Elephas maximus indicus: one gene and its partner. The protein of the gene in region 1 binds, or shares a complex with, the protein of each later gene. Links are inferred from orthologs where the notes say so. Each region holds a gene or a part of one and is shown on either strand. Other genes may lie near its edges.

Region 1 (11,390 bases):
CAATTACAAACCAAAACAAAACCAAACCTGTTGCCGATGAATCACTTCCGACTCACAGCAACCCTCTAGGACAGAGTGGAACTGCTCCATAGAGTTTCCAAGGAGTACCTGGTAGATTTGAGCTGCTGACCTTTAGGTTAGCAGCTGCAGTACTTAACCACTACACCACCAGGGTTTCCAAGTACAACTCTAGAGAGTAAAAAATGAGTACTTTTTGAACACTGCAGTTATAGACCGAAGTCTTTTCTAGGATTAAAAGGAAGTCTGTTGTAAGAGCAGCAACTTACCTGAATATCCAAACACTGGAGGACTGAAATACTGAACGTTGCTGTCTTGCCGGTACCAGACTGAGACCTAGAAAGGGAAGCATGGGTTGTACCTGTCGTCCCTCACGCCCGGCCCTCCCAGTGCTGCACAGGGACAGTGGGCTTCAGAAAGACACGGCAGCCTCCTCTGAGCAGATGTCCCAGCACAGGCCAACAGCACCTTCATCATGGGATGGGGTGGGACATCTGTCCAGAGGTGATCAGGACAACTGATGTGGCTCTTGCATAGGGGGCCTTGGGCAGATTCTGTAGCTTCAATAGGTGTTTTACAGGTCACAGAAAAAGGAGGCCTCCTTTTTGTATAAACAGTTCTTTTCTATGATTTTGAACTAAAATTGTCCCCTAAAAAAAATTTTTTTGGGGGGGGGTAAATAAGTCTCTTTTAAAACGAGGCAAACTAGGAATAAAGCTATTTAAAATTAGAGTATGAGATACAATTCCACATGCCAACTGACAGCTAAGTAAAGCCGGCTAAAAAAACTAAAGGCTTCTACAGTAGAGGCCACAAGCAAACCCTGCAGTTATAAAGTCAAGGAAAGAGCTGGCAGAAAGTACGAAAAAAAAATAAAAACACGAAGCACGTAACTATCGTTTGTTTTGCTAACTGATGCCCCACTTCTCTCTGTGCAAGTACACAGACTTACTGTGCAATGACATCTCTTCCTTTAATTATCTGCTTGATGGCTCGCTGTTGGATTGCTGATGGTTTCTCAAAACCTGCGAACAAGAGCCCAAAAAATTAACTCTAACCTTCATGCCAGCAGGTTTACAGGCATCTACTGTAAACTCCTCGAGGGCAGAGACGGTTTATCTTTCTTTTTGTTTTGCTGCCGCCAACCCCACCAACACCCCAACCTAACCCAGTGAGCAACACAGTAAGCTCACAAAAGTAAGTGGCCGAATGACTCAGGCTGCGGAAGGTTTTTAAACTAGCATGGTAGACTACTTATACGAAGTCTCTGTAAAGGGAACATCAAGTTGCAGAAAATACAGAGACCATGGATTTGGGTAAAGATAAAATTTCTTGCGGGTGCAATATCTGGAAGTATGGGCACCAAATGTCATTGGTGGTTAGCCCTGGAGAGGGGCATGGGGGGAGGGGCTTACTTTTTACTCAAGAAGCCATGGTGATGCAGTGATTAAAGTGCTTGGCTGCTAACTGAAAGGCCGGAGGCTCAAACCCACCAGCCACTCCATGGGAGAAAGATGTGGCAGTCCGCTCCCATAAAGATCACACCCTTGGAAACCCTACAGGGCAGTTCTACTCTGTTCTATAGGATCGCTGTGAGTTGGAATCAACCCAACAGCACAGGATTGGTTTTCATATACAAAACTCTAGTTATTTTTCAGGAGTCTTTTAAAACATAGTACAATTTCACATCTTAACATAAAAGCAAATATAACAGGTCATTTAAGCCCCCCATGATGACCAAGGACATCACTGAGAAACTAATCAGTGCTTCAGAGCCAGGGTGCCCTGAGCAACAAGAGGCAGGTGGTTGGTCAGTACAGTGTGATGGCTCACTTCGACATGGCCCTCCTCACCACGGTCTTCTAACTCCCAGAAAATGAATCGATGGGCTTATGCAAATAAAGTGCTTGTGGCCCACCAACGGGATTGGGTAGATTGCTAGTAACGCAAGGCATTCTCAAAGGGGGTGGGACCATGCAAATAAAGTGTATGGAATCCTAACGAGGGGACTGGTCAGTTTTGCCATCCCACTAGGCTTAAAACGAACCATTCCATAGGCAGGAAGTGGGGTGGGGCTCACTACCACCAACAAGAAGAGATGGGAGCGGAACAGAGCACATCCTTCAGCCCAGGGTCCCTGTGTTGAGAACCTCCTAGATTCAGGAGACAGAGAGAGAGAGAGAGAGAGCTGACACTGGAGAAGGGCAAGATGTTGAGAAGCAGCAGCAGAACCAAGAGACTGACAGGAAACATAACTGTAAAAATGGCACAGCGGGGGCTTCTGACCTCCTCTAACTTCACAAGGGGGAAGGAGAATCAAGATCAACAGCCCAAGGCTGATTCCTATGATGTGGAGGTCAAACGTACCTCCTCTGTCCAACCTTTTTACCAATACTGACACCAGCTGTCCCTCCCAGTGCACCCTCTACTTCTCTGCTGGGTTTGATAATTCGCTGCAATAGCCACACAGAACTCACAGACCATACTCACAGTTAAGGAGTTTGTTAGAGAAGTACCAGGTTACAATTCAGGATCAGGAACAATGACTCAGGATACAGTTCTTCCATCAGGACAGTATATTCTTAGCCATGCCCAGAGGCAGGCCTCCGCCTGGCCTTCCTGCCCCACTTGGGTAAGTGTTACAAAGCTCTTTAGCTCCGCCAATAACTGCCCGGGGACACCCCAATCCACCAGCAAGCCAGGCCCAAAGGTGCTCCCCAGCTTTCTTGCTCCACTGGCCAGCGCACCCACTGTAACTGCCTAACTCTGTGGGCTGGTAAGGCCACTGCGCCATCTCATTCTACCTCGTGGTTCTGCTGCTGCCATTTCTCTGCCACCACTTCCTGCTGTCCCTCACATTACAGTTCTGTCTCCTGAGTCTAGGAGGTTCTCAGAGCAGTGATCCTGGGTCCAAGGAACAGATTCCACGCTCATCCCTTCTTGGTGGTAGTGACGTCCCCCCCTTTCTGCCTCTGGGATGGCTCATTTTAAGCCTAGCGAGATGGAAAAAACTGACCAATCCCCTTGTTAGGGTTCTATACACTTTATTTGCATGGTCCCCCCCCCACACACAAGGATGCCATGCACTTTATTTGCATTATTAGCAAGCTATCCAATCCCCTTGGTGGGCCACTAGCAACTCATTTGCATAGTTCCACCCGATCATTTGGTGGGAGTTACGAGACCAAGCAGTGTTTTGCTTTATTGTACACACGGTGGCTACGAGTCAAAACCAATTCGAAGGCACCTCCTAAGACCATGAAAAAAAAGCCATGTAAAAGCAATCTACTGCACAGCAGTCAGCCTCAGCACAGGCCCTGCTGCAATGCTGCCCTTTCACCCCGGGGCCTCAGCTCTGCCTCTTCACCGTCTGATTGGTGTCATGTCGCTGAAAACAGTCTGGATAAAACACGTCTCGGTCCCATGCTTTGAAAACAGACCACCTACCTTGTTCACTGATAACTCATATCCACATGCCCACCCTGACCTCTGTCCTGGGCTCCAAACTTGCACAGACAACAGCCCACCCAACACCCCAATGGATGGATCCTAGGCCTCTCAAGGTCCCCACATCCAAGACAGCATCCCCAGTTCTGCCTCCCTCAAGGGTTCCCCACCTAGGCAAGTGGCACCATCATCCACCCTGTTCCTCAAAACACCGAGGAATCAAGCTCGAGTCCTCTTGCCCTCTGCCACTTACATTCACTCCATTAGCGAATCCAGTCACATTGGCTCTACTGGTCTTCTCTGTCTCCGTGACAACACCATCACCTCTCACAGGGACTGGAACAAAAGCTTCCTAACTCATCCCCTGCTTCCACGCCTACCTTACCCCCCCAACTCCCAGAACATTCAGAATGCTCTCCTAAATTAAATTCAAGCTCTCTATCACATCACACAATGCTCTCCACAACTGCCCCGACTACCTCTCCAAACTCACCCCTGGGCTCCCTTCTGTTCCTGGAACACTGGCCTCAGTCAGGCTTCTGGGCCTGGCACCGGCTGTGCCCTCTGCTGGGAATGCTCTTCCACAAGCAGTCTCCTCACGGCCGGCTCCTCAACTCAGGCCACACCTTAAGTGTCACCTCCTGCTGGAGACCTCTTACCTATCTTCTCTTTTTTGACTAAAACTGCCCTCCCCTCCCCTCCCCCAGTCACTCCCTAGTCAATCACCCAGCTTTATGTTCTTCACAGCAATTACAACTGTCTGAAATAGCTTCAGTTATTGTCCCTCTCACAGATACAATTAAAGCCCCCTGACGTGGGAACGTGTCTGCTTCTCCACCTCCCCAAAGCCTACATTGGCGCCTGTTGCCTAACACTTGCTGTTGCTGGGTGCTGTGGAGTCAATTTCTGCTCATAGCGACCCCATGCGCCAGAGTGGGGCTGTCCCACAGGGTTTCCTAGGCTGCACTGTTTACCGGAGCACATCGCCAGGCCTTTCTTCCAAAAAGCCGCTGGTCTTTCAGTTAGCAGCCGAGCGCTTAACCACTGCGCCCCCAGTTCTTTGCCTGACACCTAAAACTAGAAAAAAATTCTTTGCCACACTGAGTCTATTTTGACTGATAACGACTCTACGGGGCAGCGAAGAACCGCCTCCATAAGCTTCCCAAGGCTGAAATCTTGACAGAAGCAGACTGCTACATCTTTCTCCCGCGGAGTAGCTGGTGGGTCAGAACCGCCGACTTTTCCGTTAGCGTCCGAGCGCTTAACCAATGCGCCACCAGGACTCCGGCCTAACACCTAGTGGGTGCAATGCACCCAGAACGGCTGTGAGGTGCTTACTGGACCGAGCACGGCGCTCAGCACTGAGAACTGTGTGAACCGACACCGACGCTGCTGGCGGACGCGCTGGGGGCGTGGAATCGCGCGTCCCGAGTCCCGACCCCCGACCCCGACCTCTGGGGCAGGTCCGGAAGGCCCGTCCGCCCTAGTGCCCCCGCTCCGCTCCGCTCCGCAGCGCGCCAGCCCCCCGTGCGCCCCGCGGCCGCTCACCGTAGGCGTAGATGCCGCGCAGCAAGTCCTCCCGTAGGCCCATGGTGTCGAACGTGGGCGTCACGTCCACCTCCTCGCTCGTCTCGAACTCCACCTTGGTCATGTCTTCTTCTTTGAGCAGCCGCTTCCGCGCGGAGCCCGAGGTCGCCATCGTGGCCGTGGCCGCCATGATTGCGAGTGAGCAAAGACGAGCGGGCGCGCTGCGACGGCGGCTGGTCCGAGGCGGCAAACGGAAGCAAAGACCCGCTGCGGCCTCCGACAGGAAGTGACGCCACCGCTCGCGCCTGCCTGTGCGTGCGTGCGTACGAACGCGGAACCGGGCCGCGCCTGCGAGGGGCGGGGCGCTCTCGGTCACGTGAAAGGGGCGGAGTCGCTGTTCTCGCGCGCTCTGGAGATCTCGCGGAAAGAGGCAGTACAAGTGGCTCGGAGGCTGCAGGAAGTGGGCCTGGCGGTGCCCGGCGCGAGTGTGTTGTGGGTACATTCCTACCCAAGGTGGGGCAGGGTCGCGTTAGTGGGCTTACCCGAGCTGCAGGGTGAAATTGCCCTAAATTACGGTCACTACGTATGGCAGCCGCGAGTCGGCGTGAGACTGGAGACCCTGGAGTCAGGCAGAGGGTCGGCACCCGGGCACTTAGGCAGGGTCTCCCGGTGATTCCGCCTTGAGCGGAAATAATTTGAGTATGACTCTCTAAAATATGTATATTTACTCGTTTATACGTTTTAGGCTGATGTTATTACTGGCTAATATCTCACCGTGTGAAATTATTACCAAAGCCAGATGGAAATCCATATTTCAAATCGCTGACATTCGGAAACTTTTTGAGTTTTTAAACTGCCTTTTGTCAACTCTGGTTATGTTGCCATTTTTTAATCTCCTAATGCGACTGATGAAAGCTCCTACCAGAGTTTAGTTGCTGTTGAGCCAACAAAACGTTGCTCGATTCTCCGCCATCTTTTTGACCGTTGATTTGTTCAAGTCCGTTGTTGGGGCCGCTGTGTTAGGAGTGCCCTCCAACCTAGAGGGTTCATCTTCCAGAGCTCCCTTTTCACTATACCATTCAGTGGCATTAATTACATTCGCCCTGTTGTGGAACTGTCACCACTATTTGTTTCCAAAGCTTTTTCATCACCCCGAGCAGAAACTACCCCTTCAGTCGTAACTCCCATTCTGCCTGCCCAGCTCCTGGTAACCACTAATCTGCTTCTGTCTGTATGCATCTGCTGATTCTAGATATTTCCTATAAGTGGGATTGTATAGTATGTGTCCTTTGAGGGTACCGTTTGTTCATAGAAAAACCCTCTTCTTTTGAGAAGGGCCCTATTCTCCCCACAATTACTCAGACCCATCTGTCTTGAGTGATGACAAAAATAAAAGATCTGTTTTCTACTATACGAACTTCTAGCTCTGAGTTCCCTAAGCATGGATTTATTCTGCTTGTTACCCCTGGGCCATTCATCCCAGCCTCCTTGATGTCTCAAGAGCAACAGACACCCGGGTCACTGAAGTGGACTTACCCATTATGTTCAGGCTCAGCACCTTCTCTGTCTCTTGCCCCTCACTCTCCACACAGCTTATATTTTTCGAGGGGCAGGAGGTGTCTCACCTGATTAGACTAAAGTCAGGAGGACAAGGACCGGGTATGTGTTGCTCACCATTGTGTCCCAAGCATAGAGTTGTTAGGTGCTGTCTTAGGCTGGGTTCTCTAGAGAAGGAAAACCAATGAAGCACACACACACGTACATACATATATTATAAATATAGAGAGTGAGAGAGATTTATCTCAAGGAAATGGCCCTTATGGTTGTAGAGGCTGGAATGTCCCAAGTCTATGGGTCAGGCTGGTTGCTTCTGACTCACGTAGCTGCAGGGGCTGATAAATCCGAGATTGGCAGGTAAGATGAATCCAAGATCGGCAGGTAAGAGCAGGCTGCTGGCCCAAGTCCCAAGAACTGGAGGTCAGATACTGATGAGCTGAATGCAGGGTCCAGGGAAGAGCAAAAACCAGTGAGCTTTGCCAGAAAGTCCACATATATTGAACATAAGGCACACCCCCAAGGAAGCTCCCTTTCAACTGATTGGCTACTTACAGCAGATCCCATCACGGAGATGATCATATCGTATCAGATCTCATCATGGAGGTGACTACATCATACAAATACCATACTACATCATAGCTCCCAAACCACTGAGAATCATGTACCAGCCAAGTTGGCACAAAACTGTAACCATTCCAGGTGCCTTCCAGTCAGTTCTGACTCATAGCAGCCTTATGTACAACCGAATGAAACACTGCCCAATCCTGTGCTGTCCTCACAATCATTATGTGTGAGCCCATTGTTACAGAAACTGTGTCAATCCATCTCGTTGAGGGTCTTCGTCTTTTTCACCAACTCTCTTTACCAAGCATGATGTCTTTCTCAAGGAACTGGTCCCTCCTGATAACATGTCCAAAGTACATGAGACAAAATCTCATCATCCTTGCTTCTAAAGAGCATTCTGGCTGTACTTCTTCCAAGACAGATTTGTTTGTTCTTCTGGAAGTCCATAGTATATTCAATATTCTTCACCAACACCATGATTCAAAGGCATCAATTCTTAGTCAGTCTTCCTTATTTACTGTCCAGCTTTCACATGCGTATAAGGCAATTAAGAATACCATGGCTTGGGTCAGGAGCACCTTCATCCTTAAAGTGACATCTTTGCTTTTTAACACTTTAAAGAGGTCTTTTGCAGTAGATTTGCTCAATGCAATACATCATTTGATTTCTTGACTGCTGCTTCCATGGGTGTTGATTGTGGATCCAAGTAAAATGAAATCCTCGACAACTTCAGTCTTCTCTCCGTTTATCATGATGTTGCTTATTGGAGCTGTGAGGATTTTGTTTTCTTTATGTTGAGGTGTAATCCACACTGAAGGCTGTGGTCTTTGATCTTCATCAGTAAGTGCTTCAGGTCCTCTTCACTTTCAGCAAGCAAGGTTGTGTCATCTGCATAACGCAGGTTGTTAATGAGTCTTCCTCCAATCCTGATGCGCTGTTCTTCTTCATATAGTCCAGCTTCTCAGATCATTTGCTCGGCATGCAAATTGAATAACTGTGGCGAAAGGATATAACTCTGATGCACACCCTTCCTGATTTTAAACAATGCAGTATCCCCTGGTTCTGTTCAAATGACTGCCTCTTGGTCTATGTATATGTTTCATGTGAGCACAGTTAAGTGTTCTGGAATTCCCATTCTTTGCAATATTATCCATAATTTGTTATGATCCAGATAGCATACACTAGTACTCAGTAAATGCTTTTTGGCTTGCTGACTGTGTGATGCACAGGGCGAGAGGAAGGGGGGATACAGGGCACTGCCTCAGGAACTTCGTGAACACACACAGGGGCTGTGGGCAAAGCGGGAATAGCCACGTGGCTCCACCTCTCAAGAGCTGGCTGTCTCTTTTCCTGTATCCATGTTGACTCTTGGGATCTGGTGGAGAAGGTTAAGGTGGCTGGTCCTGTCCAGAAGCAGCAAAGATTTGAGTGTAGTGCTGCTCTCTGCGCTGCGTTTTGCATGAGTCATCACTGCACGAGGTGATGCCCTAGATAGAAGTAACCTTGACCCCAGAAGATGTCCCCACTGCATGACTTCCTGCCATAGGTCCCTGCCCACCACGGGGTGTTGAAGGACAAACACTGTTCCTTTCTAGGCTCAGCCCTCTCTAAACCCATCTGGCTGGGGTGGGCACCTTACAAGGCACTGACTGAACCCACCTTGCTTCTGCCCCAACTTCTGCACTCCTGCACTTGCATGAGGTCACTGGGTGGAACAAATGGTTTGTCCTCAATGACTAATTGAAAGGCTGGCGTTTGAACCCACCCAGCAGTGCTGCGGAAGAGAGGTCTAGCGATCTGCTTCAGTGAAGATTGCAGCCAAGAAAACCCTATGGAGCAGCTCTACCTGGTAACACGTGGGATTGCCATGAGTCAGAATCGACTCGATGGCAACAAGTTTGGTTTTGGTTTTGGCCCTCGCGTAGGTCAACCATCCAGGCAACAGTGACCCATTGAGCAGGCGCTGTCCTGGATGCTGGACTCAGCGGTGAACCAGACGGACGGCACCTTCCCTCACAGCACATACATTCCAGTGTAGGGCAAGACTGACAAAGCACCCAAACAAATAAGATTGCTGCAGGTTCCATAATTACGGGGGAGAAAAGGCAATAAGGTGAAGTGGAAGAGAGGAACTGGGTAGTCAGTTTATCCAGGTGGCTGGAGGAAGGTTGACTTGAGGGGTGGTGGACAGAGTGTTCCAAACAGAAGGAGCCATGGGTACAAAGACCTGGAGACAGGCATGAGACGGGACATACACCCAGAGGGTTGTGGCATAGTGAATGTGGGAAGATTGGGTGGGGGCATCAGGGAGTAAGGGAAAAGTGAGCAGGGCCTGATCATAAAAGATTTTATAGCCTATAAAATGGAGTTTACATTTCATCATGGTTGCTGTATGAGCCACTTGGTGGTGTTCCCCCGCCCCACCACCTCTTTGGGAGGAGGGGTTGTATTAGTTCCCTAAACCCAAAACAAGCAAACCCATTGCTGTCAAGCTGATTCCAACTCATAGTGACCCTATAGGGCTGCCATAACAAAATACTACAAAGTGGGTGGCTTACAAGAACAGGAATTTCTTGTCTCAATAAATTAATTGTTTTAAAAAAACAAAAAAAGGTTTATTCTCTCACAGTTCTGGAGGTCGAGAGTCCAAGATCAGGGTGTTGGCCACACTGATTGCTTCTGGGGCTCTGAGGAAGAATCTGTTCCCGCCTCTTTCCTGGCTTCTGGTAGCCGCAGTCCTTCCTTGACTGCAGCTGCAGCATCATAACATGGCATCCTTCCTCTGTCTCCTGTCTCTTCTCCTCTTTTATAAGAACGCCAGTCACATGGGATTGTTGTTGTTGTTAGGTGCCGTTGTCGAATCAGTTCCGACTCATAGTGACCTTATGCACAACAGAACGAAACACTGCCCAGTCCTGCGCCATCCTTACAGTCGTCGTTACGCTTGAGCTCATTGTTGCAGCCACTGTATCAATCCACCTGTTTGAGGGTCTTCCTCTTTTCCGCTGACCCTGTCCTTTACCAAGCACGACGTCCTTCTCCAGGGACTGATCCCTCCTAACAACATGTCCAAAGTATGTAAGATGCAGTCTCGCCATCCTTGCCTCTAAGGAGCATTCTGGTAGTACTCTTCAAGACAGATTCATCCGTTCTTTTGGCAGTCCATGGTATATTCAATATTCTTCGCCAACACACAATTCAGAGGCGTCAATTCTTCGGTCTTCCTTATTCATCGTCCAGCTTTCACATGCATAAGATGCGATTGAAAATACCATGGCTTTAAGACCATCTTACTCCATATTACCTTATATTAACCTGACTGCTACATCTTCAAAGACCCTATTTCCAAACAGGGTCACGTTTACAGGTAGGAGGGCCTACAGCTTCAGATTATCTTTTTAGGACATGCAATTCAATCTGTAGCGGGAAGGGGGAGGGTGGCTTTTGGTAAACAGGTAGAAAGCTCCCCTGGCTGTGTGGTTGAGGATGGAGTGTGGGGTGCAAGAGGGGGCAAGAAGCCCAGCTGGAGACATGGTGGCAGCTGTTTGAGTTGTCACATGGAGATGGCGCCAGGGGAGAGATCAACAGGGCTGATGGATGGAATGGACAGGTGGTTAGGGTTCGAGGAGTATGAAGATTACTCCTGGGTTTCCAGTATGAGCAGTTGGGTGCACCATTATGGGATGGGGAAGGCATGGGTAACAGTGTCATGATGGCTTTGGAGCAAAATCATTAACCAGTTGTCCTGAAGTCAATTCCAACTCATGGTGACCCCATCTGTGTCAGAGTAGAACTGTGTTCCATAGGGTCTTCATCAGTTGATTTTTCAGAAGTAGATCACCAGGCCTGTCCTCCAAAGTGCCTCCGGATGGACTCGACCCCCCAGCCTTCCAGGTAGCAGCTGAGTGCCTCCATCATGTGCACCTCCCAGGGACTCCAGGTCTGACTTAGCTAGTCTGCACCTGAGAGGTGGCAGGTGGGCAGCTGTGTGCATGAGGGTGGTGCTCGCTCAGTCCCTTGCTCGGGAGTGAGCAGCAGCAGGGAGTGACCCGTTCTACCAGCTCTTCTGGAAATAGCCTCTTCCTGCTCTTCCTCACCCCACTCACCATCTTGCTGCCAGGGCTGGGCTCCTCCTGTTTTCCTGCGGTAGAAGAGCCGTGGTGGGGGCTGGAGCTGGGTGTGGAGCTGGAACCCCCAGGTCAGGGAAGAAGACAAGCCCCAGAGCTCCACCCGGCCCCACCTGAGACACTCACTCAGGTGGTTGGGAACCCATTTAG
Region 2 (11,451 bases), on another chromosome or scaffold:
AGGACCCTCCAGGCAAGAAACATTTACGTCTGATCATATCCTCTCGGAACCAATTCCTCCAAGAACTGATAATGGACTTTCTAGGGGAGCGTGAAGGGAGAGATGGGACAAGGTCTTCCCCTACAAATTCCTCTAGAAACCTGAAATGATGTTGGCTCAGGCTCAACACACCATATCCTTGAGGCTGAGAAATATTTTTAATCTCATTTCTGCTGTCCCAATTCTCAAGACTCCATTAAAGACCCAAAATAGAAGTGGTGATAGAGGAGGTTTTGGAAATCTGCAATGTTGTTGGGGCATGACACAAATAAGCTGGTTTTCTCCCACCCCAGACTAGTGTCCTCCTGAAACATGCTTTTATCTAGACTATTATGAAGTCTAGAGCAATTAGAATCAAATGACACAATTGGAAGTCAATAAGGAGTTGAAGAGAAAGGAAATTAAAAGTTCTATCTGCTTGGGAGTATAGGTATGGACCAAGTCCATCCTTCAAAGAGACAATGAAGGAAGGACATAAAATTCTCCACTCCTGGTCTCATCACATAGGATGGGAGGAGAACAATGGAGGAAAACTTTTGAGCTTCCCCTTGAGCACAGGTGAAAGTAATCCCTTTCTTTCTGAGAAAGGTGAACTGTTGGTACTGCTTCTAACTGGAAGCTGGAGGAGTTGATTTATGAATAAGAACATTGGATATATATTGCTCATCAGGCTAGCTTCTTAGTCCCTGTAAGACTAAGGAGACTGAGCCTAGAAAGTCAAAGTTTAATCAGTAATGCAAATGCTTTGTGTGTGTTTGTTTAATAAACAGCAAACATGGAAACCAAGCAAGAAAGCTTTATCTCGAAAGGTTTTTCATAAGGGCTAGAGAAGGATGTAGTCTGAGAAAGAAGGGTTGTATCTTCTAATTTTGAGTCATCCATTTATGTGTTATGAAACTTATTTCATTAAACTAATATTTATTGAGTGACTATAGACTTTTCTGGCATACAGCTGCCTTAATCTCTACAATAGAGATGATAAAAGTAAATTAATAGAAGTTAATGCCACTGGAAGAATTCCAGAGACACTCTCCACTGTCAGAAAAGAGACTCTGCATGTGTAAAATGGATATATTACTTACCTCACAGGGTTGTTGTGAGGATAGAGAGTATTTATACAGCATCTGGCACATACGTGCTCAATAAATATAATTTTTCTTTCTTTGTCCCTTCCTGTTCCCGAACTTTTCATATATTTTTCATTTAAAATCTATTGGGTCTGAAAACCTCAGTCTGTCAGCTACATTGCAAGCCAGGACATTCCTGAAGATAATGGGATGGTACAAATACCACATGAACAAAATGATGATGTCATCCTTTTTATGTGAGCTTCTGGATGGTGATAGTAGTCTTCTACTCCTTCAAAGTATTGAAAATATTGTAGTAATGGCAATTCGGTTGATCTGTGCTTCTAAACAATACTCTGCGTAGCCTGGGAGTGACATCTAAGATGGCTATAGGAAAGATGCCTGGCAGTGGAAAATTTTGTAGAAGTTGGAATCCTGCTGGAGTCATGACGAGTCAGCTAACTGAATAATGACACTTGCAGCTGTGGGGGTACCACAAGGACTTAATGTCACAACGATTTAAAAGGTGGCAAGTGGCAGAAGGAAAAAGGAGGGAGAGTGGCATAGCACACGATAAAGTCCTGCGGAATCTCGTTGTTGGCTCTCAGCAGTTCATTTAAATCAAATTCACAGAGCATTTATTTATTCAAATATTCTTTTAAAAATGTATTAGTAGGGCCCACTGTACTGGACACTGTGATGGGTGTTGGATACAAGAAACAGAGCAGTTTTGATTATAGTTTAGAAGGTTAGAGATACATTATATATTTACTTGTATGGGTATTTGTTAATTAGCAGTTGTGGTAAGTGCTCTGAAAAAAGGGATAAATGAAGGGAGTATGAGATGGGGACCTTCCTGAAGAAGTGGCATGTAAAATGAAACCTTAGGGATGAGTAAGGAAGCCAGATAAAGAAAGGAGAACTGGGAGAAAGACTATATGTGTTAAAAACCTTTGGGCAAGAAAAAGCACAGTTGTTTGAGGAACTGCAAAGAGGTAAGTGTGAGTTCATGGGCAGGCGGCACAAGATACAATGGGGCACTGCTCTTTCATACTGTCCGTTCATATTTATTTTGGTAATAGGGAAAGAAGCAGACACCTATTATTTTAAAGTTTTATCCCTAGTTTTATAGGTCTGGGAAACTGGATACAGCAATTGCTTACTCTAAGAAAATGGTCTTTTCCTTAGGTGGCCAGGCTTTTTCCAAAAGGAAGATTTTATTTCTGGAATTCTAATTCTGGCGTCTTTGACCAGGCAGCCAAATTAGGTATTTCTTTTATTGCTTTGATAACCCCCTCAACTAAAAACAACAAAAATACTTTATTGATAAGAAATTTCCAACATCACCTGGATACAGTGTCACACTGGGAACTTGACAATATCATTTAACTTGGAATCATTTGAACCAGTAGTTTTCAATCAGGCTCAGGCAGAGTACTAGTGATTTTCACGCTGGATTTGGGTATTTTGTTAAAACTGAATTATAATTTTTTTTTAACATTTAAAAGAAAAAGTAAGTTAATGGGTAGAATTTTCTCAATTGTAACCTTGCCGTAATAATTTTTCTTACATTGTTGCTTTATCATAACTCATTTTAACAAATAAACAAGTAGCAAAGATAATGGTAAATTGGGAAGATAGCCTATTATGCTTAATTTAACAGGCCGTTTTTGTTTTGGACATAAGAGTTAGTGGTTATGTATGCGTTAGAAACATATAATATTGTCATATACTGGGAAAGAATTCTTAATTTGAAAAATGGAATTAAATATATTATCCTGTCATGAAAAAGGACCTAGAAATAGCTCCAAGTACTCACCATGTATGAACTTACCTGAAAAACAATGGTGTGGAAATTTTGGAAGTTCTCTTATTAAAAAATTAATACCACTGAGTGGTTAAAAAAATATTCTGGTTAAAATTCCACAAGGAAGTCTATTGTAGAAAAGAGAAGAGAAAGGTAAGTGATGGAAAAAGACTGAAATAGACCATGCCATTCTGGCATTACAAATAAAATAAAAAGAAACCACCTTAAAATACTGCTTTAGACCATAAAATATTCTTGGCTTATTCCTCTGGTCCTTTAACTGAAGGAGACAATTTTTGTACTTGCTTACAAGCAAGTGCAAAATAAAAACTATTAAAAAATTACAGATAAAGTAAACAAATGAAAATGAAAGGCTATCACTTCTAGTGTTTATTGTAGGAAAGTTAGAAGATGTCTGAAGATTGGAAGTAGGAATGATTTAGCGGTTGAGCGCTTTAACCACTCACTGCGCCACCAGGGCTTCCTCTTGATAATTTTAAATAGAGGCAAAAAAAGGTGTGAAGACAAAGGGGATATGAAAGAGAGGTCAAAGGAAGAGAGAATTTTAGCTGTAGGAAAAATCAGTAGAACATTTTAAATATTAAATTAACTGGTATAAGAACCATCTCTGCCCGTAGCCTCCTGACTTGATTAATCACGATGAAGCTGAAAGCAATAAACTTTTAAAAACTTTCCTGGGGCATCATTATTTTGTCAATGAGTTTTGTGTATTTGCCTGAATCATTGAGCCTCAATTTCAAGTGAAGCTGACAATAAAATGTTTACTTTTTACCTATGTCAGAGGGTACTTTGAAGCTGAGTACACATAGGTTGTATTAGCAAACGAGGTAATGGTAGTCCAAAGAAAAGACTTCATTTGGCTTCATGAAAGCAGCCCAAACATTTATTTACATAAATAAACTGTGGTGATATTAGTAATTGTGCCCTAATTTGAAGCCTATGGCAACTGAGATTAACATTCACAAAATATTTTTACTACTTCCAGCCCAAGTAAGAATGTTTGAAAAGGGTCTTCTATAACTGGATTGTCCAGCATAGTAGCAACTAGCCATGTTTGGCTATGTAAGTATTAACTTAAATTAATAAAATTTAATAATATGTAAAAATAAAAATTCAGCTCCTCAGTCCCTAACCACATTTCAGTGCTTTGTAGCCATATGGAAAATTTCCACATCACTGCTGTATGACATCCTAGAAGATCCCAAAACACAAATACTTTACCATTTTGCAATTCTTATCATGATTCAAGTGACAAGTCTTTTGGCATTAAAATATAAAGAGTTAATTTTAGACCATAAAATATTCTTGGCTTACTCCTCAGGTCCTTTGACTGAATGAGACAATTTTTGTTCTGTAAGCAAGTACAAAATAAAAATTAGTAAAAAATTACAGATAAAATAAACAAATGAAAATGAAAGGCTATCATTTCTAGTATTTATCATAGGAAAGTAGAAGATGATTCTGAAGATTGGAAGTAGGAATGATTTCATTTTTCACCAAAAAACAAACCAAATGGATCACAGTCTGTATTTTCAGAGATACTAAGGAATATTTTGAGGGTATTGATGGTGCAGTGATAGAATTCTCCTCTTCCATGTGGGAGACCTGGGTTTGGTAACTGGCTAACGCACCTCCTGTGCAGCCGCCACCTGTTTTTCAGTAGAGGCTTGAAGTGTTGTTATGATGCTGAACAGGTTTCAGTGAAAATTCCAGACTAAGATGGACTGGGAAGAAAGGCCTGGTGATCTACTTCTGAAAAGCAGCCAATGAAAACTCTGTGGATCACAGAGGTCGGATCTGCACCTGATTATGGAACGGCTCAGGAACGGGCAGTGTGTTTCGTTCCTTTGTGCGTGGTGATGCCAACGTGATGGCAGCTGACAACCAACATGGTGGCCTATAAAAAAAAAAATAGTAAGGAGTAATTTGTCTATATTAACAGTTATGTAATAACGCTTTATTTGTAAGGCTGAATATAACCTGGCCCAGTCTGCGTTTCTAGTCGTTTCACTTCCATGAATCTTACATTCTAGCTATGTGCTGGTTTTCCCAAAACATGTATTTTCACACCACTGACTTTGCTGAGCACATTCTGTGCCTGGAATGCTCTTCCATCCCTCTGAACATTTGCCACGGTCCAATTCAAATAGCACCTTTTTTTTTTACAAGCCTTCCTTGATATGCCCATTTCTTCAATTTCCCCTACTCTTCACTAGAATGACTTGCTTCCTCTCCTGTACTGCCAGCATTTTTTACATATTCTTCATTACAGCATTTGCTGTCTTGTGCTAGTATTTGTCTATATGCTTGTTTTCTTTTCTAGACTATAAATGCAAAAGGCTCTTTTTATTTCCTGTGTCCACCATTTCTGGCACATGGGGCATGCTTTATATATTTCAAAGCTTATTTTACATACGTTATTTGATTCTCTTAACAATTCCGTGAGCTTCACAGTCGATTGTGGTATATCCACTTGGTTAATGAACAAACAGGCTTAGAGACACTGACTTGACAAGGTTAAATAGTGGCAGTATTTGGGTAACTCTTAGGTTTTCTGAGCGCTACTCTTTCTACTAAACCCTGCTGAGGGTTATGGGATCATTTAACACACAGAATTACTCTGCTGGTAACAGAAGAGTGATCAATAATATTTGAAAAACAGACTGTGTAAAAGCTCGCTCTGTCTTTCCTCATCCTTCTCTTTGTTCACTTCCCCAATTCAATTTATCTGATGAGAAACGTGGGCTAAATCATTACTTGATCTTAAGTCAAATTGCCAAAACTCTGTAGGACACTAGAGGTTAACCCTTAAATATGGAATGAAGCACATTATAAGTTTTTGATATTAAAAAATAACTCTTCTATACGGTCAAGGAGTTTTAGTTTCAATGTGCCTTTCAAAACTTCAGACCTCTTCCTCTGATGGATTCCTTCCATTTTGTGTTTATTATTATAGTCTTCTAGCTGTCTGATACCAGCAATCGTTGTTTAAAGAAAGCCCCGTGCTTGAAATCAGGCAGGAGAAATGGACGTATTCCAGGTCTCCCACTCGGATTCTGGGCTTTAGCTTTACTCACTTCACAAATTAAAATGGCAAAAAAGCCATGCCCACTTCACAGGCCTGTCACTGAGATCTACCAGTTTCCCTGGAGGTTATCCTGACTCACGAGACCCCATGAGGATAGAACTGGGCCCCGTACAGTTTTCGATGGCTGATTTTTAAAGAAGTAGATCTCCAAGCCTTTCTTCTGAGGCGCCTCTGGGTGAACTGGAGCCTCCAACTTCTGGCGGTAACGCTTGCATGCACCACCCATGGATTGCACGGTGAGAATTTAATACACAAAAATTAAAACCGACTTGTAAATCTCAGTTCTAAGCCCACACAAAAATGCCGTTATGTTTTTTTACACTTTGTCCTCTGCTAATATAATGGAATCACTTAATTTTTATTTTAACGTGCTTCCAAACGTCAGGAGGCGACGTTCACGTCACTCCTAACCTCCCTCCGTGCTTTCCTCGGGGATCAGAAGCGCTGGCGGAAGAATCGTGGCTGCCGCAGTGACGCGCTTATTCTGGGCCGCTTGACGTCACTGTCAGGCGCCGGGAGGCCCGTTTCCAGGACTTCGGAGGGCTTACCAGGCGCGAAAATGGCTATGGCTAGCGATTTTTACCTGCGCTACTACGTAGGGCACAAGGGCAAGTTTGGGCACGAGTTCCTGGAGTTCGAGTTTCGACCAGACGGTGAGCCGAGGAGGGGCAGCTGGCGGGGTGCTGGGCTAAGGGAGGCGAGGCGGAGATGCAGCGGAGAATAAGGGAGGTGGGGTGGAGCAAGAGAGCCTCGGTGGGCCTGGAGTGTACGTTGCGAACACAGGCTACTGCTTGAGCCGAAACAAATGGGAGCTTAGAACCTAAGGTAATCAGCATCCTGAAATCAGTGCGCCGGAAGGCATCTTAAGGCCAGCTGCTTTAAAGACCTAATACTTGAACATTTGTAACACCCCACCAAGCAGTGGACCGGTGGATGCTTAAGATCTTAACTGGTGATCGATAACTTCCGGACTACCCATTCATTGATTGAGCAGTGTGTGTAAGGCAGCAGGTCTAGAAAGAGAATGAGACCAGTTCTGAAGGGTTTAGGCCGATGTGGGAACAAATAAGTGTGGTGATGTGTTTTGGGTGCTTAAATAGAGTTGTTTACCACCGGGTGCATTAGGAGTACAAAAGGGGGAGTGGTTAATTCTACATGAGGCAGTCAAGGAAAACTTCCTAGAGGAGGTGACCCTTGAACTGAATCTTGAAATAGGCTTAGGTATTTCATGTTCTCTGAGGAAAAAAGGTAGTCAGACTGGGAGAACAGAATGAACAGAGGGCAAGGTGAAGCTGCCTGTTGCCATGTAATGTGTAGCAAATTGTGTCTTTTGACAGCTCTGACTATAGAGAGAGCATTATTGTATATTGAACTCTATCCACCTGCAACAAGGACGGTTCAACTGAATAGATTTTCTTTTGGAGTGCATATTATGTGCTGGGAAAATGATAAATAGAAAACTAAGGATTCAGTAAAGAGTAAGAGTCTTTAATTTCCCTCAAAGAGTTATGCTTGAGTGGGAAACAGACGTGAAATTAACCATAAAGCAGTGTGGATATGCTTTGGACAAAGTTCTTTGAGAATATGAAAGAAAAATTAGAGAGAGGATCACATACTAGGAAAGGGGAAGAGTATCAGGCATTTCAGGTGGAAATCAAGGTATCTACAGCCCTGCTGTTATTTAGAAACCTAAATCACCTCATTTACCCTGTCATCTGCATGTCTTTTCTAAATTTGGTTAAGGAGTTAAATATACCTGAATTCTTCATCTGAGCTTTTCTTATGTGATGCTATTTTCATTCCCCTCACCTGTGAACATCATCCAGCTTGTCCATACGCCTTTTTAGCCAGTCAAATAAATTAAGTACCCTGACGTATCAGGGAAATTTTATGCCGGAACAGTGGTTCTCATCCCTTTATCTTCCACCACACTGTACCACATACTTCCATCAATAGTAGTGGGTCACAGACAATTTCTAAGGGGTACACATCACTAACCCCCCCTAAAAACACACACACACACACACGCACACAAACCCGTTGCACTAGGGCACCCTATTATTTTAGAGGGTCAGGACCACATTACGTCTGTACCTGGACAACTGACTGGCTGTGAGGAGAACGATTTATCAGAGAGTACAAAAGTCATGATGGTTTAAAATTAAATATAAATCAGCTAACAAACTGGTAATCTTTTATCCAGAGCCAGAACAGAATTTGTATGCTTGCTTGTCACAGTACTAAAACATTACTATTGCTGTAATCATGTACATTAATTTGAAGGGAAATAATTAAAAGAAAATGTTTTGGAGTAGTGGAAAAAGCATGAGTACTGGAAGACAGTAGGTCTAGATATGAACCTTGTATGATCCTGGGCAGGTTACTTAACTGCTTTCTTACTAATGAATAAAAAAAAAAAAAAAAAATGAATAGGGATAATAAAATCTACTACTTAGGGTTGTTTTTACCATTAGAATAGATGCTTTAGGTAAAACACTTAGCACCAATACAGATATATAACATAAACTTAAAAAGATATATTAGTTCCTTTTTCAGATTTCTTTTCCAGTTCATGACATAGCTTAAGAAAATGGGCCTTAAAAATGACCTTCATATTATATAGTGTAGGCATGGAATATTAAAAAATTTGACTAGCTTCACCTTCTACCAACTTAACAACAAATATTTATTGAGTGTCTCTATGTCTAACATTGATCTTATACACCAGTTAGCAGTTGCCTTCAAGTCTGTTCTTATTCATGGTGATGGCGCTGGGCTGTCAACCGAAAGACTGGTGGTTTGGGTTCAGCAGTAGTGCCTCGGAAGAAAGGCCCAGCGATCTACTTCCCAAATATCAGCCATTGAAAACCTAGTGGAGGACAGTTCTACTCTGACACAAATGGGGTTGCCATGATCTTACACTAGGAGGGAGGAAATGCTAATGTGATATAAAAATTGCTTACAGTATCATTTATTTTTTAGCAGTTTTTACTGTTATGGATTGAATTTTTTTCCACTTTCCATAGGAAAGCTTAGATATGCCAACAACAGCAATTACAAAAATGATGTTATGATCAGAAAAGAGGTAAGTTTTTTGTGTGTGTTTTTTTACATTTAGTCCATTTTCCTCATGTTTGTTGAATTAACAAAAGTACATCTGAGGCTGTTTGTAAAGAAGAAGCCAATTTATAGATTGAAAAATGATTCAATTAAATTAGATATAATTGTAGCATCTCTAACAACAAAAGAAGCTACCTGGATATATTAAGTTATAGTCCCACATTTGAACATATCATCCAATTTATTTTATAATTAATTTTGTTTTTTATTTGCTACCTAAAGCCAATTAATGAACATGATTTAAAAATAGTATACATTTTAAATTAAAGACTCAAAATGAGGTGTGAAAAAGTTCAAAGCAGTAACTGGTATGTGTTTGGTATTTATCTCTCTTTACCTCATAGACTTTGTACTGTCACCATTTATACTCTGAGATATATAAGTCCCCATGTTTCAAAGATGGAATATAGTGTATTAAAACCGGCTAGTGATTGGAGCCATGGTGGTGCAGTGGTTAAGAGCTCAGCTACTACCCAAAAGGTCGGCAGTTCATATCCACCAACTGCTCCTTGGAGACTCTATGGGCAGTTCTACTCTGTCCTATAGAATGGCTATGAGTCGGAATCTGCTGGACAGCAATGAGTTTGGTTTGTTTTTGGTTTAGTGATGAGAAGAAGGAAAAATATGTACTAGAAGAAAGGGTAAAGAGTGAAAAAAAATAACATATGGAGAACGAATGATTCCCATCCTGTAAGTTTGAAATCAGAATTAAAATTTTCTATAATATTATATTTGAATATTCAGGGTTTGTAACTCCTTTTAATCATTTCTTTCTGAGTAGTAGGAAGAAATAGTCAAGCATGAAATTTTTATTATAACTTATTTTCAGGCTTATGTACACAAGAGTGTAATGGAAGAACTGAAGAGAATTATTGACGACAGTGAAATTACCAAAGAAGATGATGCTTTATGGCCTCCCCCTGACAGGGTTGGCCGACAGGTTAGTGTTTAATAATTCTTTAAATGTATAAATATTAAAAATTGGCAATGTAATTGTTATGTTTCACCTTATTTATTTAGAATGAGTCTTCCCTGGGTCTTGATTTTACATTTAGTAGGCACCTGATAATTATTTTAGAATTTTATTTCATTTAGATTCATTTTCCATGCTACATCATAGTAGAAAGGAGTCAATGTATAGCTGTAAATTTAGAGATCTTTCTGGATAATCTTCATCATAGCTACCTAGCTAAAATTAGGATATTTTCACAATTATGAATAGTTTCTATTGTATGTTAACTGCTTTTATTAGGAGTAAGTACAAGTGTTGTTTGTCAGTTCTAGACTTATAATTTTAATTGACTATGTGAAGTTCACTTTCCCCAAATTTATAACTTTTAGAATTCTTATTTGCATTATTATGTCCCAGAGAAGAATTTGATTGGTTTCTTTGTTCTTTGCCTCTCATATTCCCTTCAGAATAATTGATGTTTCTCAAAGGGCTTCTGAAGAACTCTGAAGGCCTAATTTCATTCTATAGAAATGCAGTTTGCTTTCTGAATTGGGTCTTTTCAACTCTTGGAGAAATGAGATACGACCCCTGGAAGGAAGAAATCTTTAATTTCACTTTTGTCTGTTCTTGAGGATTATACCTTATATCACCTTCTTTGACTAGAAGAAAATGTGGAGAAATCTAACAGATGCTGACACTCTGTAGCAGTAACTTTTCTCTTTAAAGAAACATTATTTAGGAAAGCAAAGGTAATAGTTAATGTATTTATTTTATACATTGTAAGCATTTTTAAAAAGTAAATTTAGACGTCAGTGTGTTTTATGTTTATAGGAACTAAAAACAGGAACAACCATATCTTTTAGACTCAGGAAGAGCCCAGTGCTTCATCTGTTTACTTGTTGATGTATTTTGGTTACTTGGGAGGATCGAGCATGCTCCAGAAATTGTCTAGTATCTTTAAGTCACTGTTTGAGAGCCTTAATTAGTTCTACATTTGGTGTATATTACAAACTGTGCATGATTTGGTCTTCTGTGTATAATTTAGACTGTCTTTAATGGGATCTATTTGTCAGTATAACTTGAAAACTTATTACAGATATAGCCTCTTAATGGTTTCAGGTTTGCAGATACTAATATAGAAAAAAACCTGCAGTACTTATAGGACACACTAGGAACATCTACGTTATGTTTTATTTATTTATTTATTTTACTAGCTCTTAATTTTAATTGTTTTGTGAAGTCAGGAGCCAAGAGTTCAAATATCAGCATATCAACAACTTCTTTTCTATATTTTATGAGTCTTGAATTTCACATTTCTAAAATGAGGCTTATAAAGCCTGCCTTGTTTTGGGGATTA

What was found. The genes of interacting proteins can lie anywhere in the genome.
Region 2: EIF4A3 (region 1) and MAGOHB share a complex: the UniProt entries of both Homo sapiens proteins name them as parts of the mRNA splicing-dependent exon junction complex. The link is inferred for Elephas maximus indicus from reciprocal best matches to the Homo sapiens genes EIF4A3 and MAGOHB.

The regions. Positions count from the first base shown.
Region 1 is NC_064837.1:70,014,695-70,026,084, forward strand, and holds the start of EIF4A3 (eukaryotic initiation factor 4A-III), read right to left. Parts: upstream 5,274-11,390; 5' UTR 5,183-5,273; coding exon 5,014-5,182; intron 1,044-5,013; coding exon 971-1,043; intron 355-970; coding exon 288-354; intron 1-287. UniProt on the Homo sapiens protein: ATP-dependent RNA helicase. Involved in pre-mRNA splicing as component of the spliceosome. Core component of the splicing-dependent multiprotein exon junction complex (EJC) deposited at splice junctions on mRNAs.
Region 2 is NC_064822.1:69,353,369-69,364,819, reverse strand, and holds the start of MAGOHB (protein mago nashi homolog 2), read left to right. Parts: upstream 1-6,515; 5' UTR 6,516-6,581; coding exon 6,582-6,675; intron 6,676-9,048; coding exon 9,049-9,107; intron 9,108-9,971; coding exon 9,972-10,082; intron 10,083-11,451. Other genes in the region: tyrosine-protein kinase STYK1, read left to right, coding at 1-1. UniProt on the Homo sapiens protein: Required for pre-mRNA splicing as component of the spliceosome. Plays a redundant role with MAGOH in the exon junction complex and in the nonsense-mediated decay (NMD) pathway.